3 linked regions of the Callithrix jacchus genome follow. The protein of the gene in region 1 purifies or fractionates together with the protein of each later gene. This does not show direct contact. Links are inferred from orthologs where the notes say so. Each region holds a gene or a part of one and is shown in the gene's direction. Other genes may lie near its edges.

What was found.
Region 2: the proteins of OS9 (region 1) and SERPINA1 purify together in Homo sapiens (affinity purification with western blotting; 4 studies listed by BioGRID). This does not show direct contact. The link is inferred for Callithrix jacchus from reciprocal best matches to the Homo sapiens genes OS9 and SERPINA1.
Region 3: the proteins of OS9 (region 1) and DERL2 purify together in Homo sapiens (affinity purification with western blotting; 3 studies listed by BioGRID, with this or other methods). This does not show direct contact. The link is inferred for Callithrix jacchus from reciprocal best matches to the Homo sapiens genes OS9 and DERL2.

Annotation. Positions count from the first base shown.
Region 1 is NC_133510.1:61,987,627-61,997,752, reverse strand, and holds part of OS9 (protein OS-9), read left to right. Parts: intron 1-6,316; coding exon 6,317-6,527; intron 6,528-6,641; coding exon 6,642-6,743; intron 6,744-6,955; coding exon 6,956-7,056; intron 7,057-7,236; coding exon 7,237-7,288; intron 7,289-8,971; coding exon 8,972-9,060; intron 9,061-9,253; coding exon 9,254-9,526; intron 9,527-9,970; coding exon 9,971-10,126. UniProt on the Homo sapiens protein: Lectin component of the HRD1 complex, which functions in endoplasmic reticulum (ER) quality control and ER-associated degradation (ERAD).
Region 2 is NC_133509.1:129,218,637-129,229,559, reverse strand, and holds the start of SERPINA1 (alpha-1-antitrypsin), read left to right. Parts: upstream 1-3,855; 5' UTR 3,856-4,061; intron 4,062-5,907; exon of another isoform or gene 5,908-5,950; intron 5,951-10,923.
Region 3 is NC_133506.1:107,014,595-107,025,367, reverse strand, and holds the start of DERL2 (derlin-2), read left to right. Parts: upstream 1-2,537; 5' UTR 2,538-2,554; coding exon 2,555-2,647; intron 2,648-3,496; coding exon 3,497-3,562; intron 3,563-6,316; coding exon 6,317-6,390; intron 6,391-7,496; coding exon 7,497-7,590; intron 7,591-8,963; coding exon 8,964-9,159; intron 9,160-9,393; coding exon 9,394-9,484; intron 9,485-9,724; coding exon of another isoform or gene 9,725-9,728; exon of another isoform or gene 9,729-10,608; intron 10,609-10,773.

The DNA of each region.
Region 1 (10,126 bases):
GTAGGTAGATTTTTAACTACTGATTCATTTTCTGAAGTAGTTTTAGAAATATTCAAAGTTTTCTATTTCTACTTGGGTCAGTTTTGGTAAGTTTTCTTTTTAGGAGTTTGTTCATTTCATCTGACTTTTCAGATTTATTGGCATAAAGTTCATTATATTCTTCTATCTTTTTAATCTCTGTAGCATCTGTCATTAGGTTCCTGTTTTCATTTCCCATGGGTTATTTTTTGCATCGCTCATTTGTTATTGGTCAGTCAAATCAGAGGTTAGACAGTTTTGTTACACTTTTCAAAGAACCAACTGTTAAGCTTCTCTATTGTATTTGTTTTCTATTAATTTCTACTCTAATCTTCCTTCTACTTTTTCTTGCCTCTACTTTTTTGGGTATCTTTTGCTGTTTATTCAACTTCTTGAAATGAATGCCTAGCTCATTCATTTTTAGCGTTTCCTCTTTTATATTTCATAAATCTGTCTCCAACTACTTACATATCTCTCACAAGTTTTTAATGGCTATTCTAAATTCCTTATCTAATTATTAAATAGATAATACTTTCCCATGATATAAAACCCAGAAAGTAATATTTAAAAGGTATGTAATGAAATATTTCCTGGCTAGGTGCGGTGGCTCATGCCTATAACCCCAGCACTTTGGGAGGCACAGGTGGGTGAATCACCTGAGGTCAGGCATTCAAGATCAGCCTGGCCACTGTGGGAAATCCTGTCTGTACTAAAAATACAAAATATTAGCCAGATGTGGTAGCATGCACCTGTAATCTTAGCTACTTGGGAGGCTGAGGCAGGAAAATTGCTTGAACCTGGGAGGCATAGGTTGTAGTGAGCACAGATCATTCCACTATGCTGTAGCCTAGGCAACAGAGCAAGACTCTGTCAGAAAGAAAGAAAGAAAAAGAGAGAGAGAGGAAAGAAGGAAGGGAGAGAGGGAGGGAAGGAGGGAGGGAGGGAAAGAAAGAAAAAGAAGGAACGAAGGAAGGAAGGAGGAAAGAAAGAAAGAAGAAAAGGAAAGAAAAAAGAAAGAGAGAAAGAAAGAAAGAAAGAAAGAAAGAAAGAAAGAAAGAAAGAAAGAAAGAAGGAAAGAGAAAAGAAAGAAATATTTCCCTCCCATACTTGTCTCTCATCTGCTCGTTTCCCATTCTTTCCCCATTGTCCCTGCTCCAGCCCCACAGGTTATCCCTGCTCTTAATTTTGCATGTATCCTTCCAACCTTTTTTTGTGTGATTACAAACAATTATGAACGGAGATTCTTATTTCCTTTCCCCTTTATTTATAAACAATAGATACTAAATTAAACACACTGTTCTATACCTTGCTTTTATTTCCTTTGACAGTAAATCTTAGAGACCTTTCAATGGCAGTACATCTTTTTTGCTTTTATAGATGCATAAAATTCCATTGTATGTTTCATCATTTTGTCACCGTTACTCTACTGATTAAAATAGTCCCCCCATTCTTTTGTTATCCCAAATGATTATTGTTGTACATATATGCATGTGTAAATATATTATCTATAACTGGGCCAGGCATGGTGGCTAATGCCTATAATCCCAACACTTTGAGAGGCTGAGGAGGGAGGATGGCTTGAGCCCAGGAGTTTGAGACCAGCCTGGGCAACAGAGCAAGATTCTGCATCTATTAAAAAAGAAAAAAATAAAGTAAGAAAAAAAAGTATAATTGCCAGGTACAAGTTATGTATATTTAAAGATTGTCTTTTTTGAAATGTCTTATTACACAAACTTAAAAACATGTATAAACCCCCTAGAAAGGTATATCTGTGGTTCCCTGTCTTTGGATACATAGGATGGTATTCCTGTTCTCTATTTCATTTATTTTTGTTTTAATCTGCATTCTTTCCCTCTGCTGGCTCTTGGTTTAGTGTGTTCTTCTTTTTCTAGTTTCTTAAAGTAGAAGGGTAGATTATGGAGTCAAGATTTCATTTTTAAAAAATTGATGTTTATAGCTATGAATTTCCCTCTAAGCACTACTTTAGCTGCATCCTGTAAGTTTGGATATGTTATGTTTTCATTTTCATTCATTTTTGAGATAATTTATAGTTTTGTTTTTTTTTTTTCATTTAACTCATTGGTTACTTATGAATATATTGTTTAATTTCTACATATTTCTAAATTTCAAAATTTTTTTTTCCTTATTCATTTCTAATTTTATTTCGTTGTGGTCAGAGAACACACTTTGTGTGACTTAAATTCTTAATTCTTTGAACATATTTATTAATGTAATGGCTACAAGCTGGGCATGGTGGCCCACGCCTATAATCCCAGCACTTTGGGAGGCCGAGGTGGGCAGATCACCTGAGGTCAGGAGTTCAAGACCAGCCTGGCCAACATGGTGAAACCCCATCTCTACTACAAATACAAAAATTATCTGGGCATGGTGGTGGGTGCCCATAATTCCAGCTACTTGAGAGGCTAAGGTGAGATAATCGCTTGAACCTAGGAGGTGGAGGTTAAGCCAAGACTGTGCCACCGCAGTCCAGCATGGGCAAGAAGAGCCAGACTCTGTCTCAAATATACATATATATAGTTGTATATTTGTATATATACATATATATATATATAATATATATTACATATATACATATATATGTATATATGCAGGCTACTTTTGTTGTTGTTGTTGTTGTTGAGATGGAGTTTCACTCTTACTGCCCATGCTGGAGTACAATGGTGCGATCTTGGCTCACTACAACCTCTGCCTCAGCTTCCCTCGTAGCTGGGATCACAGGCATGTGCCACCACGCCCGGCTAATTTTTTGTATTTTTAGTAGAGATGGGGTTTCTCTATGTTGGTCAGGTTGATCTTGAACTCCTAATCTCAGGTGATCCACCCACCTCGGCCTCCCAAAGTGCTGGGATTATAGGTGTGAGCCACCGCGCCTAGCTAAAATATCTATTTTTAAGTGTTTGTGAGATCCACCATCTGGGCCCTCTCACAGGTTGTTTCTTTTGCCTGCATATTTTTCCTATATATGCATCATACTGTAATGTTTCTGCATGTTTTGTAATGGTTTTGTTGAAAACCAGACATTTTAGATAGTATGTTGTAGTGACTACAGTTAAAATTCCTGCCCTCGGCCAGGCGTGGTGGCTCAAGCCTGTAATCCCAGCACTTTGGGAGGCCGAGGCGGGTGGATCACGAGGCCAAGAGATCGAGACCATCCTGGTCAACATGGTGAAACCCCGTCTCTACTAAAAATATTAAAAAAATTAGCTGGGCATGGTGGTGTGTGCCTGTAATCCCAGCTACTCGGGAGGCTGAGGCAGAATTGCCTGAACCCAGGAGGCGGAGGTTGCCGTGAGCTGAGATCGCACCATTGCACTCCAGCCTGGGTAACAAGAGTGAAACTCCGTCTCAAAAAAAAAAAAAAAAAATTCCTGCCCTCCACCCCATGGTTTTTGTTTGTTCATTTGTTTAGGGACTTGGTGGAACTACTTGAGTGCAGTCTCTTTCCCTCACCACATGAAGCCTCTAGTGTCTCCTCAGAGAGCACAGTCTTGGCCCTGCACACAGTCACACTAGATGACAGTGGTTTCAGCAGGCTCTTTTTGACTGTTTCTTTCGTGAATTTGTTATGCTGTCGGCCTCTCCTGGTATCACCCCCAGCTGTTGGGCTCCACTCATTGCCAACTAGTCGCTTTATTGTTTTTGACTTGTGGGGCTTAAGTTGTTCCACCGTCTAGTCCAATTAATTGTGGGCCCCTTTGTAGGGCCCGTTTTTGAGGCTAATATGTAGGTTTGTTCTGACTCCAGGATGGCTCTCAGTTGCCTTTTCCCTGGTTCTCTCTGTTAAACTAGGTGTCCCAAGGTTTAGCCTGTTGCTATCATGGAGCAACCAGCCTCCTTTTAATTGCCTCCCACCAAAATCTCTACATTTCTGAAGTGCCTGTAGGCTTGAATTTCCCCATACTCTGTTTCACATTAAGTCAGTCCTTTGGAGAATGTTTTGGAGCTCTGGGTTCTTATGGACTGCCTCTCCTGCTGGGCAAAATCCCCAAGGCCCTGCTCAGAAGTTGGGGTCAGGAACAATGGCTTGCTTCTCTTGAAAGGACATTCCTGCTTTATGAGCAGGGAGCTAGGAGGGGATAACAGCCTCTGCTCTCCCAGGTTGCATCTCTTTTGTGAAACCTCCACTCTCTGAGCAAGCTTCAGTGAGGCCAGTCAGGGCCCCGGTATTCTTGTCCCACTGTACTTGAGGGAAAGCCTCTGCCCTGTGAGTGGGGCTGGGTGGAAGAAGGGAGCCCTTGATCTTGTGACCACTTTTGTAGGAATTTAGTTACTGTACCCTGCCCCTTCTGGTAAAATACCATATACTATATCTCATGACTGGATGTTCAGGGAATAAGAAGGGTCCTCCTGCTCCCCAACCCCAGCTTTTTTTTTTTTTTAAACTACACTCACCTGCTAGAGTGGAGCATTTGTCAAACTGAGCTGTGAGGTGGGGTTTGGGGCATAGAGTGAGGGAGCAGGTCATGGCTCAAGTGCAGCAGATTCTTACTATTCAAGATTTAGTAGCTGGGCATGGTGGCTCACACCTGTAATCCCAGCACTTTGGGTGGCTGAGGTGGGAGGATTGTTTGAGCCCAGGAGTTTGAGAAAGACTGGACCACATAGCAGGACACTGTCTCTACAAAAAATTTTAAAATTTAGTCAGATATGATGGGACACACCTGTAATCCCAGCTCGGGAGGTTGAAGTGGGAAGATCGCTTGAACCTAGGAGGTTAAGGCTGCAGTGAGCCATGATCATACCACTGCACTCCAGCCTGGGTGACACAGTGAGACCCTGTCTCAAAAAAAAAAAAAAAGATTTCGTAGATTTTCTTGAATAAACATTTATTTGTTATATGTCCTTAGGAAAATTTCCAAAGAGTTTAAATGCTTTGTGTTTTAAAATTTTCATCAGTTATGGAGTTTCCCTGAGGGGTGAGTCTGTGAAGTCCCTCATGCTGCCATTTCAGAAGTAGGACCTCTCCTACTGTTGGTTCATTTTTGAGACAAGGTCTTGTTCTCCGCATAGGTTGGAGTGCAGTGGCATGATCATAGCTCACTGTAACTTTGAACTCCTGGGCTTAAGGGATCTTCCTGCCTCAGTCTCCCAAGTAGCTGAGACTACAGGCGTACACCACCACACCTGGCTAAGTTTTAAATTTTTTCTAGAGATGAGGTCTCACTATGTTGCCAAGGCTAGTCTTGAATTCTTGGCATCAACCCATCCTCCTGCCTTAGTCTCCCAAAGTGTTGGGATTACAGGTGTAAGCCACCAGCCTCTCTTACTTTTAATAGTTATATTAGAAATTAGAATATTACATGCTTAATTTATCAAAGGCCAGACAATATCTTTACCCTCTTTCTGAATGATATAAGAATCTAGGCTGAGGCAGGTGAATTGCTTGAACCAGGCAGGTGGAGGTTGCAGTGAGCTGAGATCATGCCACTGCACTCCAGCCTAGGCAACAGAGTGAGACTCCATCTCAAAAAATAAAAAAATAATAATAATAAAAAGAATCTTAGAATTGTTTGAAGTTTTTTTTTTTACCATATTCACATTTTTAAAAATATATATATTTATACAGAAATATATATTTTATAAAATAATACTGGCCGGGCGTGGTGGCTCGCACCTGTAGTCCCATCACTTTGGGAGGCTGAGGCAGTGGATCACCTGAGGTCAGGAGTTCAAGACCACCTGGGCCAACACAGTGAAACCTTTTCTCTACAAAATTACAAAAATTAGCCAGGCATGATGGTGGGTGCCTATAATCCCAGCTAATTGAGAGGCCGAGGCAGGAGAATTGCTTGAACCTGGGAGGCAACAGTGAGCTGAGATCACCCCAGTGCACTCCAGCTTGGGTGACAGAGCAAGACTCCATCTCAAATAATAACAATAATAATACATATATAAAGCAAATATAAGTATATATATATATTTATTTATATATACACATACAATACTTATACAAAGCAAGAATATAAAACACAAATTGGTTACCTACAGTTAAGCTGCCTGAGTTCAGTTCCTGTTTTTACCACGTGAAAGCTGGTCAGCCTGAACAAGTGCCTTAACTGCATCATACCTGTTTCTTGAGGCACAAAGTTGAGATATCAATACCCCCTCACTGGGTTTTTGTGATAATTACATGAGCCAATTTATGTAAAGTGCCGTATGCACAGTGTATGCACAGTGCTTGACAGATAATCAGTGCTTAGTAAAAGACACCTGCTCTAAGAACTAAAGCATGTTATTGGTGGTGATTACAGTATATTCACCCTTTCTGTCCCCACAGTTCCTCTGTGATGAGGGTGCAGGTATTTCTGGGGACTATATCGATCGTGTGGATGAGCCCTTGTCCTGCTCTTATGTGCTGACAGTTCGCACTCCTCGGCTCTGCCCCCACCCTCTCCTCCGGCCCCCACCCAGTGCTGCACCCCAGGCCATTCGCTGTCACCCTTCCCTGCAGCCTGAGGAGTACATGGCCTATATTCAGAGGCAAGCTGGTGAGTAGAGAGGAAGGGGAGATACAGGGGCAGGAGGTGGCAAAAGACCAAGTATTGAATAGCCAGAGGAATGTGTTCGTGTTCCTGGCCTGCTTGCATGCTATTTCTCAATAGACTCAAAGCAGTATGGAGATAAAATCATAGAGGAGCTGCAAGACCTGGGTCCCCAAGTGTGGAGTGAGACCAAGTCTGGGGTGGCACCCCAAAAGATGGCAGGTAGGACCTTGTTTGACCTGTTCCATGAAACTTGCTTCCATTTCTTCTTCCCCCTGATCTTATTGTCCTGACTGATTGGTGGGGTGGGGTGGAAGAGTACCAGGGGCCCTCATCCCTTGGTGATACAGGAGGGGAAGATACCCCATCCTATTTGCTCCCTTCCATCTCACCCCTCCTGTCAGATTGATCTCTCCTTGTTTTCTGTACCCCAGGTGCCAGCCTGACCAAGGATGACAGTAAGGACTCAGATTTCTGGAAGATGCTTCATGAGCCAGAGGACCAGGCCCCAGGAGGGGAGGAGGTGCAGGCAGAGGTGAGACCAGCTGCCTCAGAGGAACAGGATGGGGAGGGGGAGGGTTACTGCAGCTGGGGTCATTGTGAGGTGACCTACATCTACCTAGGGATGCAAGGATATCTCCAGAACCTTTGCCTTCATAGTATGGAGGGCATGAACAGGCTTTCATACTTAACTCTGTCCTTTTCTCCTAATCAGGAGCAGGACCCAAGCCCTGAGGCAGCAGATTCAGCTCCAGGCACTCCCAGTGGTGAGTGAACCCTCCATGTCTCCTTTACTGGATGTATTTTAGGATTGGCTGGGGTATGGGTGGAGGGGAGAGCTAAGCACTAGGAGGGAGCAGCCAAGCCAGCAGCAAATTCATTTTTTTTTTTTTTTTGAGATAGAGTCTTGCTCTGTTGCCCAGACTGGAGTGCAGTGATGTGATCTCTGCTCACCGCAACCTCTGCCTCTTGAGTTCAAGCATTTCTCCTGCCTCAGCCTCCTGAGTAGCTGGGATTACAGGCATGCACCACCATGCCTGGATAATTTTTGTATTTTTAGTAGCGACGGGGTGTCACCATATAGGCCAGGCTAGTCTTGAACTTGTAACCTCGTGATCTGCCCACCTCAGCCTCCCAAAGTGCTGGGATTACAGGCATGAGCCACTGTGCCCAGCCAGCAAATTCATTTTTACAGGAGTTAATACTCTGTAGACAGCACTGCTGTTTTAGGAAGGTAGCAGAACACAGTAGCTCCACCACTTGGTGACTTTGTGATTCACTTAACCTCAATTTTCTTACCCATAAAATGTGGGTAATAACCCCTACCTTAGAGGGTTGCATGGGCTGAAATGAGAATACATCCATAATTCATAGTAGAATACCTGGAACTGAATAAACTAAATGGTTAATATTTGTGGAAAGAACAGAAGGGCTCCAGGGAAGACAAGCCCTTAGCCCCAGAATGTCCTCTATAGTCCTAAAAACTGGATTGACTGCCAGAAGTGCCTCAGAAGTGCATGGAAGAGTGGGGACTTAGCAGCTTGTTAGCATCCATCTCTCCTACCTGAGTGTCCATCTTAGGATGGTGCTCTCTGCAGACAAATGTTTGCCCTTGTCTTGCTATCAAACAGGTAGAGGCAGGGACCATGTCTCTCATTACCTCTCCTTAGGAATCAAAAGAGAATTTAGGAGTACAGTGATGCACACCTGTAATCCTGGTTACTTGGAAGGCTGATGCAGGAAGACTGAGCCCAGGAGTTCAAGATCAGCTTGGGCAACATAGTGACACACCATGTTGAAAAAGAGCCAGGTGCTGTGGCTCATGTCTATAATCCCAGCACTTTGGGAGGCTGAGGCGGATGGATTACCTGAGGTCAGGAGTTCGAGACAAGCCTGGTCAACATGGTGAAATCCCATCTCTACTAAAAATACAAAAATTAAGTTGGGCGTGGTGGCTCATGCCTAGAATCCCAGCACTTTGGGAGGCCGAGGCAGGCAGATCATGAGGTCAGGAGTTGAAGACCAGCCTGGCCAATATGGTGAGAGACCCCATCTCTACTAAAATTTCAAAAATTAGCCAGGCCTGGTGACACACTACTCAGGAGGCTAAGGCAGAAGAATCGCTTAAACCCAGGAGGCAGAGGTTGCAGTGACCTGAGATCACACCACTGCACTCCAGCCTGAGCAACAGAGCAAGACTCCATCTCAAAAACAAAAAAAACAAAAAACACAAAAATTAACCAATTGTAGTGGTGGGCGCCTGAAATCCAGCTACTTGGGAGGTTGAGGCAGGAGAATCGCTGGAACCCGGGAAGTGGAGGTTTGCAGTGAGCCAAGATTGCATCATTGCACTACAGCCCAGGTGACAGTGCAAGACTCCATCTCAAAGAAAAAAAGAGAGAATTTAGACACAACAGAACAGGTTCATAATTATTATTCTTTCATCTCAGATTTTCAGAACAATGTGCAGGTCAAAGTCATTCGAAGCCCTGCGGATTTGATTCGATTCATAGAGGAGCTGAAAGGTGGAACAAAAAAGGTATAGGCTGTGCTCAGGGGATGGATAGAACCCACCTCCCAACTGGGAACATTTGAAAAACTACCCTGACCTGGGCCTCAACTCCTGGGTCCCCAAGTACCACACACCTGCTACTGTTTGTGTGCACCCCACCGTGTGTCTCTGCTGAAACCCCAACTGTCTACCTCTTTCTTCCCACTCCCGACCCACCCAGGGGAAGCCAAACATAGGCCAAGAGCAGGCTGCAGATGATGCTGCAGAAGTCCCTCAGAGGGAAGCAGAGGAAAAGGAAAAGGGTGACCCAGAACAGCGGAGTGAGGTGGAAGAAGAGGAGGATGAGGATGAGGATGAGGATGAGGATGAACGGCAGTTACTGGGAGAATTTGAGAAGGAACTGGAAGGGATCCTGCTTCCGTCAGACCGAGACCGTCTCCGCTCGGAGGTGAAAGCTGGCATGGAGCGGGAGCTGGACAACATCATCCAGGAGGCAAGCCCGGCTCTTCCTCCCCTTACTTCTACAACCACCTTGTCCTGTGGGGCAGAACAGGCTGATGGGCTAAAAGAAACAGAGGGCACAGCAACCAGGGCAAGGACAGTGCACTCAAAAATGGTAGCTGTTTCTCTAATTAATCAGGACTGGTGGGGAAGGGGGACCAGAGAGAGGGTCAAGACTTAAATATCAGACTCTGGCCGGGTGCACCGGCTCAGGCCTGTAATCCCAGATCCTCAGGAGGCTGAGGCCTGTAATCCCATCTCGCTTGAACCCGGGAGGCGGAGGTTGCAGTGAGCCAAGATTGTGCCACTGCACTCCAGCCTGGGCAACAAGAACAAAACTGCGTCACAAAATAGCAGACTCTCCTACAGAGCCTGGCCTGCTGGCCACCTCCATACCCCAGACCCTTGAGTGTTTATCTTCTCTTGGGTATTCCAGACAGAGAAGGAGCTGGACCCAGATGGGCTGAAGAAGGAGTCAGAGCGGGATCGGGCAATGCTGGCTCTGACATCCACTCTCAACAAACTCATCAAAAGACTGGAGGAAAAGCAGAGTCCAGAGCTGGTGAAGAAGCACAGGAAAAAGAGGGTTGTC
Region 2 (10,923 bases), on another chromosome or scaffold:
TTTCCTCATCTATAAAATGGGATAACAGAAATTGACTTCATAGGCTTGACATGAGGATGAGGAGTTAATCTGTGACAAATGCTTGGAATGGCGCTGGCATGAGCCACGTGCTCACTGTTACCTATTATGCTAATGTTACAAAGGGATGTGTATGAAGTGTCGCAGAGGCAGCAAGCAGGGAGAAAGAGAGGAAGGGAGAGATGGAGGTACGCGTTTCAGCATCAGGGTAACACTCTCTGCCTCAGTTTCCTCATATGTTCTAAGGAGATCACAGTGGTACCCACTGCACAGGATAGAGTGGGGTGATGCACACGAAGTGTTTAAGACGGGGCCTGGCAGACAGCACATGCGCGAGGACTCTCGGCCACGATGCAGGGGGTGGCATGCCGCCCCTGGAGTATTCGGAGATGCGTATTATAAAATGGAAGCAGAAGGCCTGTTAATACCCAGCAAACAAACACTCAAAGTCAACATGAAGTCAACAGGGCAAATCGAACCATCTGAAGCCAAGGTCGGAGTTGGGCAAATTAAGAGCCCTATTGCTCTCGGTTACCTAAGCCACCCACACAGGCCTTGTATTTCTGAGTAATATGGCCTGAAGTCCTGCTGGGTCTCCCCTGATCCCCACACGAGGATGAGTCCTACACGCTCAGCCCTGCTGTGGTTCCCGGAAGGCCTCTGTCACTGCCCGCTCTCTTCCTCTCCCAGGGAAGAATCCCCAAAGCCATGACTTGGGGCAAGAGAAAATGAAGGCAGACCTGGAAGCTGAACATGGTGGCATTGCTAGAAAGCAGTGTGAGTGGCTGAACATCAGCACAGATTGCTGAAGGGATAATGAGATAGCTTAAAAGCATTCCCGCTGACCAACTAAAATCAAATCATGATTGTAGTTAAATAGGACGCATTGAGTCTCTTAAAAGCTTCCAATCTGGCCGGGCGCGGTGGCTCAAGCCTGTAATCCCAGCACTTTGGGAGGCCGAGGCTGGTGAATCACGAGATCAACAGATCGAGACCATCCTGGTCAACATGGTGAAACCCCGTCTCTACTAAAAATTACAAAAAATTAGCTGGGCATGGTGGCGCGTGCCTGTAATCCCAGCTACTCAGGAGGCTGAGGCAGGAGAATTGCCTGAACCCAGGGGGCGGAGGTTGCGGTGAGCTGAGATCGCGCCATTGCACTCCAGCCTGGGTAACAAGAGCGAAACTCCGTCTCAAAAAAAAAAAAAAAAAAAAAAGCTTCCAATCCATAATGACCATCGTGGCCTATAACCCCAAAGAAGTAAAGTTAAAATAAGTTTGGAAGAGGTTAGTTGCAATAAAACATCAGTTTCATTAATTTGAACAAGAAGAGGATGGAGCTACAGATGCATGTTTTCTTCCTTTTTTGAACTAAGTTGCCCATTGCAGTGTATAGATTTCCTTATTTTTCTCTGTCTGAGTAAAGGATAAAGAGTAAAGCCTGGGTGTAGTGGCTCACGCCTGTAATCCCAGCACTTTGGGAGGCAGGTGGATCACTTGAGGCCAGGAGTTTGAGACCAGCCTGGTCAACATGGTGAAACCCCATCTCAACTAAAAAACAAAAACTCGCTGGAAGTGATAGTGTACACCTGTAATGCCAGCTACTAGGAAGGCTGAGGCATGAAAATGGCTTACAGTTCCAGAATTCAAGAGGCGGAGGTTGTGGTGAGCCAAGATTGCGCCACTATACTCCAGCCTGGGTGACTGAGTGAGACTCTCAAAAAAAAAAAAAAAAATAGTAAAAACAAGAAGCTGTGAGGAGGCCAGATAGTTGAAGAAAGAGCAGAAACCCTCCCCCACACAGGAAACGGCTCAGGAGGTTGCCCCACAGAAGGGAAGAGTGTCTGCTAGGGTTTTGCAAGTTGGTTAATTTGAAAGATGCCTGGAGGAGGTGAACAGATGGTGCAAACTTAATTCTTCTCTTAGAAGACAAACTTCAAACATCCAACTCACCTGACCAGTTGAATAAGTTATAAGAAGACAGACACAAGTGTCGATTGTGCTAACAGTTCTGTGTCAAACGCCCTGAGCATCACCTCATTTAAGCCTCATGACTATATTGAAAAGAGACTTTTATCCCCATTTTATAGATGAAGAAACCAAGGCTCAGAGAACCAAGGCACTCCCCGGATCCAAGTCCGCCTAGCTGCAGCACCCCTGCATCCTCTGCACGTCACAGGTGCTCAGAAAGATGCTAAAGTCACCTGGCCCTGTGCCTTCAGGAAGCCAAAATGAGCACCGCCCCAAAAGGGACTGGCAGCCTCTTTCTGGAAAAAAAAAATGGAAGTTTGAATCTGAGGAGGTGTCCCTCAATAACGGGTGCAGCTCCCCAAGCCTGGGGCCAAACACAGCAGTTGTTCCTCCACTTACACCCCTGAGACGCATCTATAAGGCTTTTCAGAGCCAGGACACGTCCCCAAAGGTCGTGGCCTTCGGTGGGTAGCATTGACTCAGGGCCTATCAAAGCCAGAGGCTGCCCGCAGCGCTCAGATGTTAATAACTCATTGGATCTTCACAGTCCTGATGGAAGTAACTCTTCTTAGAGTCTTTCTGTCTCACAGATGAGGAAACTGAGGCAGAGAGAGGTTACATGGCTTGTCTAAGATCTCACAAAAAGAGTGGTGGAGTTAAGACTTGACTCCAGATGCTAGATCCTGACCCCAGTAACCTGTACTGCCTCCCAAAGAAGGAAGCTGGTGCCTGGGAGGGAGGGTGCACAGTGAGGGTGCGCATGGTATGTGTGTGTGTGTGTGTGTGTGTGTGTGGTGGGAAGCACTCTCTGGGGTACTTTGCCAATGTGTTCAGCTCCCCTGAAGTCCACTGTTGTTCTCCTGACCAGCCACTCAGTCTTGATTTACTTGGCCCAGGGCCACTGGCACACCCCACCCCGTTACCCCTTCTTGCTATAGACCCCAAGTCTTGGCTCTCACACCCCTTTCCAGTCCATACCACAAGGCTCCCATCTCCAGGCAGGGCGCTGCGGTGGGGCAGGGCCTCCCAGAAGCCCCTTATTCATGACCAGCCCACAGGATCTTCCCATGACACATTTCCTCCAGGGGATCAGCCCAGATGATGCAATTGACAATTCTGGGACTAACCAAGTGGACAAAACGTTCCCCACTGTGTCCTGGGGTTCCTGGGGGTATAGTGTCCTTGCAAACGGCCACTGAGTGCTTCAGCCCCCCTCCACTCCCCTGGGTTTTGTCCTGGTCATTTTCCCAGATCACCCCAGCCTTTCCTCCCGGGATGAATGTCCAGAGCAGGGCAGGGGCTGAGCCTGGAGCCCTTCACCCAAAACAGCAGGACCCCAAATTCCGAGCCCCTTACTTGCCCCAACTGCTTCCACTCATGCTTTCTTCATTCCTCCTCCAAATGCCCCAGCTGCCCGCTACGATCCCTTCCACACCCAGCCAGGTCCTGTGACACACACCTCCCCAGCGCACACAGACCTGCCCAGCTTCAGGGTCGCCCACTGGGCATTTCATAGGTGGCTCAGTCCTCTGCCCTCTGCAGCTGGCTCCAGAAACCTGCCAGATGTTGGTGCCAGGTCTGTGCCAGGAAAGCGACGCCTATCATTTCTAGTAATCCTCTGGGCAGTGTGACTGTGCCACTTACAGAAGCTCAAAGGGACAGGGTGACTCATCCTGGGTCACAGAGCTGAGGCAGGACAGGTGGAAGAGATGACATGCAGGGCTGTCTGGATTTATGAGGGCCAGTCCTGTGTCTGCCTGGCAATGGCCAAGGCCCCTTCCTGCCCAAGCTCCCCTCCCCTCCCCAACCTATTGTGTCTGTCATCCGCCATCCAAAGTCTACTTCCTGCGTGAGCAGGAACTGGGCACTGTACCCAGGGCGTGTACTGCCTCCACACCACAACCCTCAGAATCCTGAGCTGAGCAAAGGAGGAGGGGGCCGGGCCTCCAAGGAAGGCCTAGCCGCTGCTGCTGCCAGGAATTCCAGGTAGAAGGGGTGGCACCTTCCTGCCAGTCCCCAGCCCACGCTCCTGTACCTGCCGGAGGGAACAGAGCTTGAGGAGAGCGGGAAAGGTGGGACATTGCTGCTACTGCTCACTCAGTTCCACAGATGGAGGGACAGCTGGGCCTGGAGTGGGGGTCATTATGCAGATGGGAAAATGGAGGCCCAGAGAGGGAAAGAAATGGCCAGGAGATGCCAAGGGCAGGTGACCTCAACCACAGCCTAGCGCTGGAGCTGTGAGTAGAGGTAGAGTAGCAGAACATCCATTCAGCCATCTCAGGGGAAGGACGGGGCCCTGAAGGCAGGGGATGGAGCTGTCAGGAAAGGGAGCTGAGAGAGAAGGGGACAGGAGTCTGAGCTCAGTTTTCTGCTTCCTGAAAGGAGGGTGGTACATACTCCCCTCACAGGGTAACTGAATGAGAGACTGCCTGGAGGGAAGCCCACCCCACCCCAGTGACACCAGGGAGACCCCTGACAAGGGGGAGGGAGGACAGCATCAGAAGGGGCTTTCCGGGAACACCCAGCACCCGGCTCTGAGCTTGCCTTAAACTGCTGCATTTTAATCCTCACAGCAGCTCAACAAGGTACACACCATCACCACCCCCATTTTACAGATGGGGAAATTGAGGCTCGGAGCGGTTATACAAATCGCCTGAGGCCTCACAGCCACTAAGTGGGCCCTCTGGTCTGAATATGTGTGCTGGAGAATCCTGGGGGTCACTCACCTGGTAGAGCCCCGAGATGGAGGTGCAGTGAGACTGGCAAATAACAGAAGGGGCAAAAATGCACTCATCCATTCGTTCTGCAAGGATCTATGGCGCATACACCAGCTGCCAAGCAGGTTTGCGGTTTGCACAGAGGGTGATGCGGTCTGATTTAGGCTTCTAAAGGGATTGCAATCAAGTGGGGCCCCACTGGCCTCAGCCCCACCCCTCCCCTCCACCCCAGCACTCCCCAAAGCCTCCAACAACACCAGGGTGGGGGTCACATTCCCAAAGAAAATCCAAGCTGAATACAGATCACCTTGGTCTTCCAGGAGCAAAAACAGAAACAGGCCTGAGGCTGGTCAGAACTGAACCTCCTCCTGCTCTGAGCAGCCTGGGGGGCAGGCTAAGCAGAGGGCTGTGCAGACCCACATGAAGAACCTGCAGTGTGCCAGGCACTTCACCCAAGGCACTTCACAGCCATGCTTGGGAGTGAGACTTCCACCTCTCTCAGATGCAGGTGAAACACTTCTTGGTTCAGAGAGGTGAAGTAGCCTGCCTGAGGCAGCACAGGTCCTCTTTATAGACTTACTCTCCCACCCCTCCACCCTGTCTCATGCTCCCCACCCCCATGCCAGCCTGATGGTTGTGTCTGCCTCAGTCATGCTCCATTTCCCCATCGGGACTATCAAGAGTGTTTTTGTATCTGAGGCTGACAGTGTGACTTTGGATGAGCGGCCTCTCTGCTCTGAGCCTCAGTTTCCTCGTCTGTCAAATGGGCTGTAGCCCACTCTGATCTCCCAGGGCGGCAGTGAGTCTTCAGCATCAGGCATTTCGGGGTGACTCAGTAAATGGTAGAACTACCATTGCTACCAGTGGAACACCCACTGAGAATTCTGCAGTGACAGCAGAGGGCCAGCAGCGTGGTGCTCTCCCAGAGAGTGACTCACACCGCCCCCTCCACCTTGGACCCAGGACACTGTGGTTTCTGAGCCAGGTACAATGACTCCTTTTGGTACATGGAGTGGAGGCTGTGCGCTGCCCAGGCAGAGCGTCCAGGCAGTGTGGGCGGGCAACTCAGAGCCCAGCCAGTGGACTTAGCCCCTGTTTGCTCCTCCGATAACTGGGCTGACCTTGGTTAATATTCACCAACAGCCTCCCCCGTTGCCCCTCTGCAGCCACTGCTTAAATACGGAGGAGGACAGGGCTCTGTCTCCTCAACCTCAGGCACCATCGCTGACCTGGGACAGTGAATCGTAAGTATCCCTTTCACTGCGAAAGGTTCTGGAGAGGCCGCTGAGTCTTGCACGGCCCAGGCAGGCAGCAGGCCTGGGGCAGGGGTGGTTGTGGAGTGGGTATCCACCCCCTGGGGTGCAGGGCACAGGGAGGGGCTGCAGCTGGGCTCCTGTTGTCAAAACAGCAGCCATGAGAGGGTGTCCTGTTTCCCAGGCCTGCCTGGTACCCCTCAGTACCTCCCAGTGGGCTCACTGGCTCTTGTAAGCAGAAGTAAATGAGGGTGTCTGGCTCCATGGTCCTGGCACCCCAGGATGGGGGTACAAGCCAAGATACAGCAACTAGGCTCAGTCATTTCTTTCTGTTTGCACAGCTCCTGTTTCTGTCGGGGAGATCCTGTCTGTTGTCTCCTGTAAGCCTCACCTCCTCTCCTACTGCTTGGGCACGCATCTTTTTCCCCTTCTATAGATAAGGAAGTTAAGATCCAGAGGGGGCAGGAAGGAACACCAGCTTACACTCTCCATCCCCTCCAGATATGACCAGGAGCAGACCTGTGCCGAGCCTCAGCCTCACATGCACTATGGACCTCTGGGTCCTCCTGTCCCAGTGGAGGACAGGAAGCTGTGAGGGGCACCATCATCCGGGGCTCAAGCTGGCATTCCCGAATAATCGCTCTGCGCCAGGCTACCGCTAAGCTCAGTGCACAATTAAGCCTTATAACCCTCCAAGGCAGTTACTAGGGTTATTCCCATTTTACAGATGAGGAAGCTGGGGACAGAGAGGTTAATAACTAGCCCCAAATCACACACCATTCATAATTCAGGCTCAGGCACCTGGTTCCTAGCCTGGCCCTAGTGCTCAGTTTCTCTCAGGTCTCAGGCACTGGATGGGAAACAGGAAGCCTGGGCTGGACTCAAGGTCTCGCTGATGCTCAGTGACTTCAGATTGTTGCTCAACCTCTCTGTTCTCTTGGGCAAAACATGATAACCTTTGACCTCTCTCCTCTCCCCTCACTCACCACGACCTTGATCTCTGGAGTGCTGGAAGGATTTAATTTTTCCCCACACTGAGTTTTGGGGATGGGGTCAAAAAGATGACCCAAGGCCAAGGCGTTCAGGTTCCCACAGAACGTCTCTAAAAGACCTGCACCAGGAGCAGCAAGAACTGATGTTCTCGAGAACATACTGTGCGCCAGGCAGTTCTTGGCATTTTGTGCATATTTAATTTGCACAATAGCTCTATGACAAAGTCCGCCTTTCTCATCTCTAGGAAATCGAGGGTCAGAGAGGTGAAGCAACTTGTCCAAGGTCACACAGCTAATAGCAAGTTGATCTGGAGAAATCTGTCCTCAGAGCCTCAAATTTCAGCTGCAAACTGACGCTGCCCCTCTTAATGAGCCGGGCCACCTCTGAAGTCTCCTGATTCAAGTCTCCTGGCTTCAGCTTTGTACACAGAGAGGATTAAATGTCAGGTTTTGGAGTCAAATTTGTTTAATCCTAGACAGCACATCTAGGATTAAATCTCAGTTCTGTAAGCAAGGAGCTCTGTGATTTTTAGTGAGTTACTTAAATCCTCTTTGAGCCTCAATTTTTCTATCTATAAAATAGGGCTAATAGTAATTTGCACCTCTTAGGGTAAACGTGGAGGACAGATTAGTGGGGCAGTGCCTGTAAAGCACCAGGTGTTAGTGTGGCGATGACGGTGACGCTGAGGCTGTTTGTCTAGCATAGGACGAGGCAGCCGGCAGGCAGTCAACAAATACTTGGAGAAATTTAATGGAAAATTTGCCGAACTCAGTCGCTGTTCACTGCTGAACAGAAGCCTCTTTCTGCTGAAATGTGTCCTGTGGAGTGCAGCAGCTAGCCAGGGAGAAATCTGCCATCTCTCAGGCAGGAGTGCAACCTGTGTACAGATACAGAGAGGGCTTCCACACCTGGTGCGTGCCCACCCATGCATGACCTTGGTTATTCCTCATCTCTGTCCAGAGGATTCTTTTCTCCACTGTACAGATATGAAGCCGTGTGAAGTCATTTGCCAGAGCCCCCTGCCAGTAAGTGAAATGTATTGCTCATTTCAACAGGTCGATTGACCATGGGCGAGATTCTCTTCCCTGCACCCTGCCAGGTTGCTCTTGGACCTTCGTTTTATGCTCCTGGGTAGAAATGGTGTGAAATTAGGCAGGCAGTGGCTCACTTCCCTCTCCCCTGCCTTGCAAAGAGTGCTCCCACCTGCCCCGATCCCAGAAATGTCACCATGAAGTCTTCATTCTTTTGGTTTAAAGCTTGGCCTCGGTGTCTGTACACCATGGGGCCCTTGGCCGTCTACTGTCTCCTCTCCAGTCAGCCTCCCAGGCACTAGTCTTTGGGGGTACAGGATGCTGCCTTTGATAGAAGGGCCAAGAGAGAGTAGGTTTGGGAACCCTGAGGTTATAAGGGACAGCTTGGGAGGCACAGTGAACCCAACATGATGCTTGAGACCAATGTCAGGGCCCGATTCAGACATTCGTCATCTGGGATTTGAGACAAGGCTGTTTCAGTCCATAGACAAGTACTGGGAAAGCCAAGACTTATCCCAGCTTTGTCACTGACTTGCTGTATGGCCGTAGTAAGGCCCTGACCCTCTCTGGGCTGCAAACTCTTCACTGTGAAGGGAGAAAACCAAGTAGGTGATGTGACATGGGGGAAGATGGATGGGTGTGGGGAAATGCACTCCTCCCAGCTGTCACCCCCTCTCCACCCACCCTGCACCAGCCTTGCCACCTCCTTTGAGCCCAGAAGTCCCTTGCGTAGGAGGGCGCCTCACCTCATGCCTACCCACAGGAATTCTCCATCTGTTTTGCTCCACCAAACCCAGATGCCATTGTAACAAAGAATTCTGGCCAGGTGCAGTGGATCACACCTGTAACCCAGCACTGTGGAAGGCCAAGGCAGGCAGATCAGGAGATCAGGAGTTCAAGACCAGCCTGGCCAAAATGGTGAAACCCCGTCTCTATTGAAAATACAAAAATTAGCCTGGCATAGTGGCACATGCCTATAATCCCAGATACTCAGGAGGCTGAGGCCGGAGAATTGCTTGAACCCAGGAGGCGGAGGTTGCGGTGAGCTGAAATCACGCCACTGCACTCCAGCCTGGAGGATAAAGTGAGACTGCCTGAAAAAAATAAAAATTAAAAATACTATGTTAGTGTACAGAGGACCCCAGTGAGGTCTTCTCCCAGCCCTGCTTTGCACAACTGGGGAAAATAAGGCCCCAGGACCGGAGGGTGCTTGCTCAAGGCCAAGTGGACGGTGATGTCCCTGCCAGGGATAGAAGCCACAGCCACTCAACATATTCAGTGTCCCCACCCTGCAGAGGTCCAAATCCCTCCCAACCACTGAGCCCTGTAATGATGGGGGAATTTCCATAAACCATGAAGGGCTGCGCAAAGTTCAGTGGGGAAGTGAAAGAGAAATCCAGGGGAGATGGAAATATACAGCATTAATTTTAGCCCGGCCTTCGGCTCTAGCAACACTAGCTAGTTGAAGAAAAACATAAACATGTGTTATGTAATGTGTGGTCTGTTCCTCTGGGACTACGAGAACCAGGAGAAAGGTGGTAGAGAAACCAGTTATGTGCTTCGTTTTGTTGCTTTATTGGAAAGAAACTTGGAAAAGTCCAAGACGGTCGATGAATCTTAGTATTTGTTTATTTCCAACTTTTTTTCTCCAGTTTTTCATTTGTCAAATTCAAGAACACCTTTTTCTTTGCATTTTGTTAAGATGGTGATTTTAGTTGTGTGGCCAGTAGTTAACTATGTGGTTACCAGGCGGATTCTCAACTGGGACCTCAGTTTCCCCATCTGTGAGGATGGCAGATCTACTTAGGGGGCTGCAGACTGGTGGTCCGAAGCCGAGGCATATCTGGAGTAGAAGGAGCACTGTGGGGCAGGGCAGGCTCTATATTGCTTTGGATGACATTCACTTGGACCATTGCTTGGCAGAGCCTGCTCTCACTAGTTCAGCCACAGGCCCCACCACTCCCTACTGTCTCAGCCCCAGGTATGGAACACATATTCCTCACGGGCCTATCACATGAAGGCTTTGAATCTGCAACACCTGCCAAGCCCGCCCTCAAAAGCGTTGCTCTCTCAGATCCTTTGATGTAAGGTTTGGTGTCTAGATTTATTTTACTAAATTCTTCCAACAACCTTACTTTATATGAGGCAAAATGAGGACCAGAGAGATTAATGACTTGTCCTGGCTCATACACTGGAAAGTGACAGAATCAGATTAGATCCCAGGTGTATCTGAAGCTAAAAGCAGAGTTTTTTCATTTCCCACCACCCCATCTCCTTTAAAGCAGCACAAACCCCTGCTTTAAAGGAGAGATGAGCTTCTCTAAAGCCCGTGACAGCAAAAGACCAGAACTGGGGACACCGTTGGTGACTCGGACAGCAAGTAAGCTGACTGCAGGCATATCATCCTATTCTTGTGACTGGAACCACAGAGTATTGTAGGGACAGCCCCTCTCTCAGGAAAAAACCCTAAGGGCTGAGGCTCCCTGTGAGTGTTGGGTGGAACAGCCCCCAGGGGATTTAATCTCAGCCCCACCATGCTCTAGCTGGTGCCATTGTGCAAGACACATTTCCCTTCTCTGCAGCAGCTTCCCTGGCCACTAAATAGTGGGGTTAGATAGAAGCTCTCCAAGGGCTCCCAGCGCGACGTGAGTCTTGATTCTGATCTGGCCTGATCCTGGATAATCGTGGGCAGATCCCTTATTCCTCTGGTGCCTCATCTTCTTTCGTGAAACAGTGGCTGTACCACTTGCATCTTAGGGTCATTGCAGTTGTAAGGGGAGCTGCCCAGAGCCTGGACGCAAGACCTAAATGTAGGATTCCAGTTCTGCTACTTTACTTACTCGGTAACATTGACTAGTTGACCTAATCTCCCTGGCTTTGGCTTCCTCATCTGTAAAATGACGATAGCAGCATTAGCACCTCACAGGATTATTGCAAGAA
Region 3 (10,773 bases), on another chromosome or scaffold:
AACACAATTAGCTAAAATAAACTGCTACTTCAAATATCAGGTGAATTGAGGATGCACTTTATGAAATAATTTGCAGTAAGCAGTGCAGTCAAATCTTATGGGAAGACAAAATGCTGCTAATCTTAACAGTTTATGTTTGTAGGCCGAGTACAATAGCTCATGCCTGTAATCCCAGCACTTTGGGAGGCCAAGACGGGCAGATCACCTGCCAGGAGTTCAACACCAGCCTGGCCAACATGGTGAAACCTCATCTCTACTAAAAATACAAAAATAAGCTGGGCATGATAGTGCCCACCTGTAGTCCCAGCTACTTGGGAGGCTGAGGTGGGATAATCACTTGAACCTGGAAAGCGGAGGTTGCAGTGAACCAAGATCGACTGTTGCACTCCAGCCTAGGCAACAGAGCAAGACTCCATCTCAAAAAAAAAAAAGGAAAGAAAAGAAACTGTCTCGCTGTTGCAGAGGCTGGACTTGAACTCCTGGACTAAAGAGGTCCTCCTGCCTTAGCAGTAGCTGGACTACAGGTGTGCACCACCCTGCCTGGCTTAAACCATGAGTTGTTTTATCAACAGGTTGTCAGGGTGATATTTGGGTGACATTTCTCCTTCTGCCAATTATTCTTATCTTTTTAAGTTTTTGTTATTATTTTTTTTGAGATGGAGCTTCACTCTGTCACCCAGGCTGGAGTGCAATGGCGCAATCTCTGCTCACTGCAACGTCCTCCTCCTGGGTTCAAGTGATTCTCCTGTCTCAGGCTCCTGAGTAGTTGGGATTACAGGCGCGCGCCACTACGCCCGGCTAATTTTTTGTATTTTTTTTGGAGATGGAATCTTGCTCTGTCACCCAGGCTGAAATGCAGTGGCACGATCTTGGCTCACTGCAACCTCTGCCTCCCGGGTTCAAACAATTCTCCTGCCTCAGCCTCCTAAGTAGCTGGAATTACAGGCATCCACCACCACACCCGGCTAATTTTTTGTATTTTTAGTAGAGGTGGGGTTTCACTGTGTTAGCCAGGATAGTTTTGATCTCCGGACCTCGTGAAACACCTGCCTCATCCTCCCCAAAGTGCTGGGATAACAGGCGTGAGCCGGCGCGCCTGGCCATTCACATCCTTTTTAAAATACCACTCTTTTCAGCCTACCTTATAAACTACCAGACTTGATGGTCACTCCCATCATTCCAAAAATCTTTAGTGCTTCCTCATAACGCATGAATAAAGCATGATGCTAACCTCTCCTACCATGAACTGGCTACTCTGCTCCAACCAAACCAGTTATTTTCTTTCCCTCAAGGAGGGATGCCTGAGCTAAATGTCACTCAACATTGAAATACACTTCCTTGGCCGCGCTCGGTGGCTCACGCCTGTAATCCCAGCACTTTGGGAGGCCAAGTGGATCACTTGAAGTCAGGAGATCGAGACCAGCCTGGCCAAGATGATGGAACCCCTTTCTCTGCTAAAAATACAGAAATCAGCCAGCATGGTGACAGGTGCCTGTAAACCCAGCTACTCGGGAGGCTGAAGCAGGAGAATCTCTCAAAGTTGCAGTGAGTCGAGATCGCCCCATTGCACTGTGCACTCCAGTCTAGGCGACAGAGTGAGACTCTATCTCAAATAACAAAAAAATACACTTCCTTGATTAAATCCTTCCTTTGCATTCCCATTAGGACCTCTCTTCGGGCACTGACAGATAAACTACCGCCTCATCTTCTCTGCTAGACTTGGATTTCCTAGTAGAGAAATGAGTGCGGCCTCATCATTTGCCGATTCCACGCCTAAGTGCCCAGGCCATCTCGGCGAACTGAGCCAAGAGCCCAAGATTGCGCTGAACAGGACCCAGAAGGAAAGGCCCAGGAACTGCTTCCGGCCGGCTCCGGGCTCCCGTCGGGCCCCGCGCCCGCGCTGCATGCCGGGACCTTCGGTTCGGAACCGGCGGCGAGGCCTACCCAGCAGGCTGCCGCGCTCCTCAGCGATGACGCCTAAACTAGTCCCGCCAGTACCCGCTCCTCAGGAAAAATGCTGCTCCGCAGCACTTACTGGAGCGACCATGAGGGTGACGAATTCGAGCACACAGGCTTCCCGCCACCTCCTCTAAACCGCCGCTGGCATGCCAAGGACAGACGGAGCGGTTGGGTCCCCAAAATTCCGACTGATACGCGCCTCGGCGAACGAAAGCAAACGCGGGATGCTCTCGCTCTCCTGATTGGCTGGTTGGGGACATCTCAATTACTGACAGAAAGGGGCCGGGCGGGAAAGTTAGCTGTGGCCGGCGGGGATTGGCAGAAGGAACCGATACTTACTCGTTTCTCCCGGACGTTGGCTGGTGGAGAAGCCAGGCTGGGGCGCTGAGGCGCTGGGGCATTGAGGCGAAGCAACTCGTGATTGGCGGGTGTGCCTTACTTGGGGCTCTACGATTGGTGGCTGGCCGGTTGCTTGGCGCTGATTGGGCAGCCACAGGAAGGCTTAGTGGGGAGGGGCGGGGGTGCTTTGGGCCCGCCCCGCCGCCGGGATCTGCTGGCGGAAGGGGAAGTGGGAGGGCGGGCGACGGTGGGGAAGATGGCGTATCAGAGCCTGCGGCTGGAATACCTGCAGATCCCACCGGTCAGCCGCGCCTACACCACTGCCTGCGTCCTCACCACCGCAGCCGTGGTGAGCAGCCTCAGCGCCACCTTCCCGTTATCTGGGCTGGATATGACTGGGTCTTCAGGAAACTGGGGTTTGGACGTTGGGGAAGTCCAAAGGGGCTGGTCCCGGTGATGGGTGGAGGCATACAGGGATTATTCTGGGGTTCGAGTTGGCGCCGAGAAAGCGTATCCAGTGACCTGAGAAGGGAGTGCTGCTTCATCGGGGATCTGGTCAGTTTCTCAGAGATGAGGGCCGGACCTGTAGTGGGTTAGGGTTGCGGGAGCCTCCCACCCAAGAAATGTGTCCGAGAGCTCTGGTGATGGCCAGGTGGTACCGTGGTGAGTAGTGAGAGGAAGGTCCGCTTAGGGAAGAAACAGGAATGAGGAAAGCAAGCTGGAAACTGTCGAGAGGGGAACAGCTTATAATAAAGAGGTCTTTGGATAATAAGGGGCTGGCTGGAGGTACCCAGCCCTAATGGTGGCAGGGTCTCGAGTCTCCGTTATTTCAATTGAGTTTTGTTGTTTGACACAGCTGTTCCAGGTGGTGCCCATGTGGTGGGGTAGTCATAGCAGCTGTTTTTACTTGTCCTGTGTCTAAAATATCACCACCTGTCTGCCTCTCATTTCTTCATGTCAGCCTCAACTATTGCAACATACAACAAACTTTTTGTTAGGTAGTGAGAATACAAAGAATTCTACCAATTCTAGAGATTTCTTTACCAACCTTTTCCTCTGGCCTAAGAAGAAAGGCTTAAAGGAAATCAGTCTAAGTGACTGATAGTTGGAAATTGCTAGACCTACTAATCCTTTGTTGTAAATGATGAAATTTTGTCTCTTGGTTGATTTGCTTTAAGAAGCTCTTTTTCTATTTCAGCAGTTGGAATTGATCACACCTTTTCAGTTGTACTTCAATCCTGAATTAATCTTTAAACACTTTCAAGTAAGTGGTTCATCACAATAGTGATTAATGCTTCAGTTTATTCCTTTTCTTACAGTTTAGTAGCAAATCCTGTTACATACTAGCCTAAAAAAGAACCCAGTGGGGACCTTTGATTATAATTGCTTTGTCAGGATATAAAGCAGTGATTCTGCAACCTGGTTGGACTTGAGAATCCCTTAGGGAACTTTGAAGAGATTCTCAAATTCCTCAACAAATACCAAGTCAGAATTTGCAAGGGTAGGAATTAAAATCTATGTTTTATTTTTAAAAGTTCCCTGCATCGTTTTGATATGCCCAATTCCTGTAGTTGGATATCACTGGTTTAGAGTTAATGTTGTAGTTTGAGAGGAGACTGACCAGGTGGCTGCTTAGGGGTTGTCTCAAAGGGATGGCCTTATTTTGTCCATTCACCACCTAGGCACACCCACCACCTTGGTGTTATCACCATGGTCCAGAAACTCAGTTCTGTTAGTACTTTTAAATTGTGATCTGTCTTGCAGGGATCAGATCATATTAACAAAATTCCAAAAGACCAACATCTAAAGCAACATGGTGGTTTATTAGATTACAGTGGGAGATAGTCCTCTCCAGTGATTAAAATGCTAACAGCAGCCAGGCGTGGTGGCTCACGCCTGTAATCCCAGCACTTTGGGAGACTGAGGCAGGCAGATCACCAGAAGTCGGGAGTTTGAGACCAGCCTAGTCAACATGGTGAAACCCCGACTCTACGAAAAATACAAAAATTAGCCAGGCCTAGTGATGCATGCCTGTAATCCTAGCTACTGGGGAAGCTGAGACAGGAGAATCACTTGAAGCCGGGAGATGGAGGTTGCAGTGAGCAGAGATTGTGCCATTGCACTCCAGCCCGGGAGATGAGCAAAACTCTGTCTCAAAATAAAATGCTAAAAGAGAGATGGTATTTCCTGTTCCAGGATGATATTACAGACCATAGTTGGAGTAGGGGAGAGACCCAAAAGCCAATAATTGTGCCTCTACCCATGCTGTACCCTCTGTCTCAAATGTATTTCATTCACTTTATACCTGTTGAGCTCTAGCTTGCCTTTCAAAATGCAGCTTTTGTGTAACCTTTATGTACTCATCCTCCTTTGTTTTAGAGCATCTCTCACCTTTACTTTGCAGTTATTTATATGCTTGTCTCCTCACTAGGATGAGGGCTCTAAAATCTGGATAATTGATATGTAGAACTAATTGTTTCAACATTAATAGTTACCAGTTCTCAAGAATTTAGTGATTTGTAAAGCAGTCCTGTCATCTCTTGTCACTGTGTTCCCACAATACTCACATGGAGCTGTAGTTCCATCCAAGTAAGTCTTACTTCCTACTTGGCTTGCTTGGCTTTACTTTGCCTGGGGTTAAACTCTTGATGACACTGTGCATTTGGAGTTAGGAGTTCCAGATTTGCCAGCAGAGTCTCCCTCTACAACCTGTGGGTCCTTGGTCAGGACATTTAAAAGTTCACCTTTTAGTTGAATAACTAGCTAGTTACTCAGTCAGTTTCAGTAAGTCTTTTAGTTTCCTATCTGTGAAATGGGGGTAGCCTGCTTGTCTCATAGGATTATTAAGATCACAAGAGGTAGTAGAAATTTTTAAATGTTAAAAATACTCTACCATTGTGAGTGGATACTGTGGGTGTGGAGATGTTGGGCAGGGAAGGCTGTATCAGAGTTTCCAACAAGAAAATGAGTGTTTAGCCGGGCACAGTGGCTCACGCCTATAATCCCAGCACTTTGCGGGGCCAAGGTGGACGGATCATTTGAGGTCAGGAGTTTAAGACTAGCCTGGCCAACATGGTGAAACCCTACCTCTACTAAAAATACAAAAATTAGCCAGGTCTGGTGACACCTGTAACAGCTACTCAGGAAGCTGAGGTAGGAGAATCATTTGAATCTGGGAGGCAGAGGTTGCTATAAGCCAAGATCATGCCACTGCACTCCAGATGGGGCGACAGAGCAAGACTCTGTCTCAAAAAAAAAAAAAAAAGAAAAGAAAATGAGTGTTCTTTATCTCCCAAGTAGACTATAATTATTATAGCATTCATTCTTGCAGGGAGTTGGCCATTTGTTCAGACTAGAACTTGGGTTTTTTCTTTAGAATTTTCCTTTCTGGCCAGGTGCAGTGGCTCAGGCCTATAATCCCAAAACTTTGGGGAGGCCAAGGTGGATAATCCCTTGAGGCCAGGAGTTTGAGTCAGCTTGGGCAACATAGTGAGAACCTGTCTCTGTTTTTAAAAAATGGTTTTTTTTTCCTCTTTATAGATTACTCAGTCTTGGATACGTTAAAAATTTTTTAATTAAAAAAGAATTTTCTTTGAGATGTTTCTGACTGCCTAATGTAAACATTTCTCAGCAATTTATATTAGACCCTGAAGTTTTTCTCTGGTATGTCAGATCTATTTATTATATGATAATACTACATATGAAAGCACTGTTTTCTGTTCAGCAAATTAACCTAGTCTTTCTACCAAACTTTCTCCATAAGACAATCACAATTTAAAATTTTCTGTGCTATTGTAAATCTCACAGTCCCAATGATGTCTTTCAAACTTTTAACTAAAAGCAGCAAAAATCTAACATCGGATTATATGCCCTCATTTTGTTTCAGAACAGAATATCACTCTGTCCAAGGCTTCTCAACCATCATAGTCATAGGATGTGTCTTTTGTATTCATATGGAACTGTTTCCTGGTAATTTATTTGACTTAATATATCTTTCTCTTGATTTTTTTTTAAACAGATATGGAGATTAATCACCAATTTCTTATTTTTTGGGCCAGTTGGATTCAATTTTTTATTTAACATGATTTTTCTGTATCCTTTATTAAATGGGGTCAGCATCAAAACTTTGTTTTCTTAGGAAGTAAAAGATTAAGTTGAAACTTTTAATCCTGTTATTTGTTTCTGGTACCATCTTAGCTATAATTTCTGGATCAGTGGAACATAAAGTAGTTGGTTAGGTAGTAATGTTTTGAAAAGGTTTGTAGGTCACTGTTCAAATGAGAGGTTTTAACCATAAAAAGATACCACTTCTACTTTTTAGTTGCTTACAAATCTGATCAAGGGAGGGGAGAAGTGATTTAACTGAGATATATTTCCACAGTGACATCAACAGGTACAAAGTGGTAAAACAACCTGAATACAATGATAATTTAGCAGAATTTGGGCATAAGTTTTAGAGTGGGTTCATGGAGAGTGGGAACTTGTGATCTCCTTCGGTCCTGGTTGCGGGAACTACTGGCTGAAAGACAGTGATGTGTCTGCTGGTCTTGTCAAGTTCCAATTTGTTGAAAGAAAGGGAAACCCCAGCTCTGATCAATGGCAGTTGGGGCCATGGAACACGGCATTCCTCCTCCACCCCTGCCCTCTCTGTTAAGAGGGAGTTACAGTTCAACTCATCTGCAGCTGCATTCCTTCCTGAAGATGGCAGGAATCCATTTTAAATCCTATTTAGGATATCATTCTGGTAAGTTTCCAATAAAATTTTTTCTCATCATAATTCATCTTTATTGACTGAGGTGCTCACACCAGGTCTGGAAACGTGGTTTAGCACACAAGGCTTCTTGCTACAGATTACTTCCAAGTTAAGTTGTAGAAAAGCAAAGATGGTACAGATTAAGGTGCAGCACAGGAAAGACTATACAATTTTTTAAAGGTTTAGTAGGATACTGGAAGCACTTCTGTACGTTATGTGGATTAGTTCCTAGCTAGGGACAGTTTGTAAAATATGGTGCTGGTCTTGACCGTTTCTAAAACACTTGGTAAAAGAAGGGTAATGACACATTACCACTCAAACATTCTTACACAAATGAAGACTTGACTTCTTACAAATAATATGGAATCCAAGTGTACTTACATAACATTAAATTTTACCTTGTTCATATTCATGTGCTTAATATTTTCTTAACTTGGAACTTAAGATATCGTTACTGTCGAATGCTAGAAGAAGGCTCTTTCCGGGGTCGGACAGCAGACTTTGTATTTATGTTCCTTTTTGGTGGATTCTTAATGACCGTATCCTTCAACAAATAGAACACATACAGGAAAATGTTAAAGAACACCCTGTTTCTTCCCAAAGCTTGTCATCTGTCTCCCATAATTCACTAGATATTCTGAAGAAACAGATAAAAGTAGAGCTCCAGATTTTAGCTTCAGGGCACTATCATTTGTTTATTACTTTATTTTTCTGAGATGGAGTCTTGCTCTTGTTGCCCAGGCTGGAGTGCAATGGTGCAATCTCAGCTCACTGCAACCTATGCCTCCCAGGTTCAAGCGATTCTCCTGCCTCAGCCTCCCAAGTAACTGGGATTACAGGCATGCACCACCACACTCAGCTAATATTGTATTTTTAGTAGAGACAGGGTTTCTTTTCCATGTCGGTAAGGCTGGTCTCAAACTCCCGACCTCAGAGGATCCTCCCGCCTTGGCCTCCCAAAGTGCTGGGATTATAGGCATGAGCCACCGTACCCAGCCCACCATCATTTATTTTACAGCACATTTTCTGTGACAAGTTTCCAAGCCTAGAGGTTGAACAGGATGAACAAATCAAAGGAGCTTTTAACCCAGGTGGGTTACTATTAAGTGTCTCAGTTATATCATTGCTGCTTGGTGTACTTCACTTTTAAACTAAGTTGGTAAGACATTTACTTGGTGGCTATCAAAACCAATAAATTATTTTTTAGAAAAAGAATTTTCAGGCCGGGTGTGGTGGCTCACGCCTGTAATCCCAGCACTTTGGGAGGCCGAGGTGGGTGGATCACGAGGTAAAGAGATCGAGACCATCCTCGTCAACAAGGTGAAACCCTGTCTCTACTAAAAATACAAAAAATTAGCTGGGCATGGTGGCGCATGCCTGTAATCCCAGCTACTCAGAAGGCTGAGACAGGAGAATTGCCTGAACCCAGGAGGCGGAGGTTGCAGTGAGCCGAGATCGCATCATTGCACTCCAGCCTGTATAACAAGAGCAAAACTCCGTCTCAAAAAAAGAAAAAATTTTCATCTATACAATAGTCTTAGATATGCTACTGTTGGACAAGATGGACTTGTTCCAGCTAGCTTTATTCACCTCTGAAAAGGTGTTAACCATGAGCAAGCTTTAATATAATTACTGACCAAAGAATTAACAGATTTTCCAAAGAGGCAAGAACTTCACGAAAGCAGAGTATTTGTTTGAAGTAGCTGCAATCTCAGTAATTTAGCCTAAGCAGATTTTTGCATGATTGCTCTGGGTAATTATTTTCTGTTTTTTTTTTTTCCTTCTATTCTAAAGATATAACAACTTGACTTTTCCAGCTCAAACGTTTGTTAGAACACAATTGTTAGTCCTCCTGCTCAGTCTTCCCTATTAAACTTTTAATGTTGACATTTTCCTTAATGCTATCTGCTAGCTTTTTGGTTTGTTTGTGAGCTTAGTTTTCTTGGGCCAGGCCTTTACAATAATGCTCGTCTACGTGTGGAGCCGAAGGAACCCCTATGTCCGCATGAACTTCTTCGGCCTTCTCAACTTCCAGGCCCCCTTTCTGCCCTGGGTGCTCATGGGGTTTTCCTTGTTGTTGGGGAACTCGATCATTGTGGACCTTTTGGGTAAGGCTTTTCTCACTATTTTTTAAATTCTTTTACCTGTAAATGTATTTTGTCACTATTTTTCCTGTATATTCTGTTTGGCTTTCATGTATAAGTATTGTAAAAGACTACAATATTCGTTCATTAATAATTATGCTGCCATTCATCCTAAATATAGGCAATTTATGTTGGTAGGTATGCCTGCAATCCAAATTTTCATTGTCTCCCTCATCCTTTATTTCTGCTTGACTTTAGGTATTGCAGTTGGACACATATATTTTTTCTTGGAAGATGTATTTCCTAATCAGCCTGGTGGAATAAGAATTCTGAAAACACCATCTATCTTGTGAGTATTTACATACTCTTACAGGCAAACTAGGATGGGGGTCATGATCTGTGTTTTCTTGGGCTCTCCTAGCTCCTAGTACACATAGTTGAGGTCAGTAACTATTTACAGATTGAGCAAGCTGGCTGCAGTTGAAGAGCACTTGGATTGGGTAGTAACCGACAGTGCCAGGGTTGTGGCCAGAGCAAGGTTAACAGGCTCAGGATATCTTGTTGAGTAACCTGGTAATTGTTGTTCCAGATGACCACTAGAACTTCATGTTCCAGGAGGAGTCTACTGTTTTTATGAAAGCTGCTGTCCACGTTTAGTGAAGTAAGGTAGCAAAATGAGCAAAACTGATGAAAGTTTCTAATGGTGGACTTTCTGACCTGCCAAGCAGGTGGTTGAGATAAGCAGTGAAGCAGAGTGGAAGTAGCTTTGGACTGGAAACCAGGTATAGCTGTCCTACTGACCAGTTGTATAGCAAGTCCCTCCTTTTTTGAACTTCAGTTTCCTGAAATAGAACAATAGAACTTTGATTTCTTTTTTTTTTTTTGGACATGGGGTCTTGCTCTGTCACCTAGGCTGGAGTGCAGTAGAACTTTTGATTTATGAGACCTCTTTCTACTCTGGAATTTGGTGTCCTTGGGAGATACCATATTAAAAAGGGCTCACTTGAGAAATAAAATGTGAGTTTTTGTTATAAAATGTTTGTTGTAGAATATTTAAGCAAGAAAGTAAAATTGTCCATGATCCTGACACTTGGATGTAGCAGGGGCTGCTATTGTTAACTTTTCTTTTTGTATTCTTCAGACTTTGCTATCTGTGTACTTTTTTTTAAATGCTGAGCCAGTCAAGGCTGTTGTGCACTATGATTGCGCCTGTGAATAGCCACTGCTATTCTTTGGCCAGGCCTTTTAAAATAGCCACTGCATTCCAGCCTGGACAACATAACATATGCCTGTAATCCCGGTACTTTGGGAGGTGAAGGCAGACAGATCACTTGAGCTCAGTGCAGTGGTATGATCGTAGCTCACTCTTAACTCAAACCCCTGGGCTCAAGTGACCCTCCCACCTCAGCCTCCCAAGTAGCTGGGACTACAGGTACACACCACCAGGCTCTGCTAATTTAAAAAAAAAATTTTGTGTGTGGAAATGTGGTCTCTCTGTGTTGCTCAGGCTAGTCTTGAACTCCTATCCTCAGGTGATCCTCCTGTCTCTTGGCCTCCCAAAGCATTGGGATTACAGGTGTGAGCCACCACACCCCACTTTTTTTTTTTTTTTTTTTTTTTTGCAATTGTTTTCTGGCT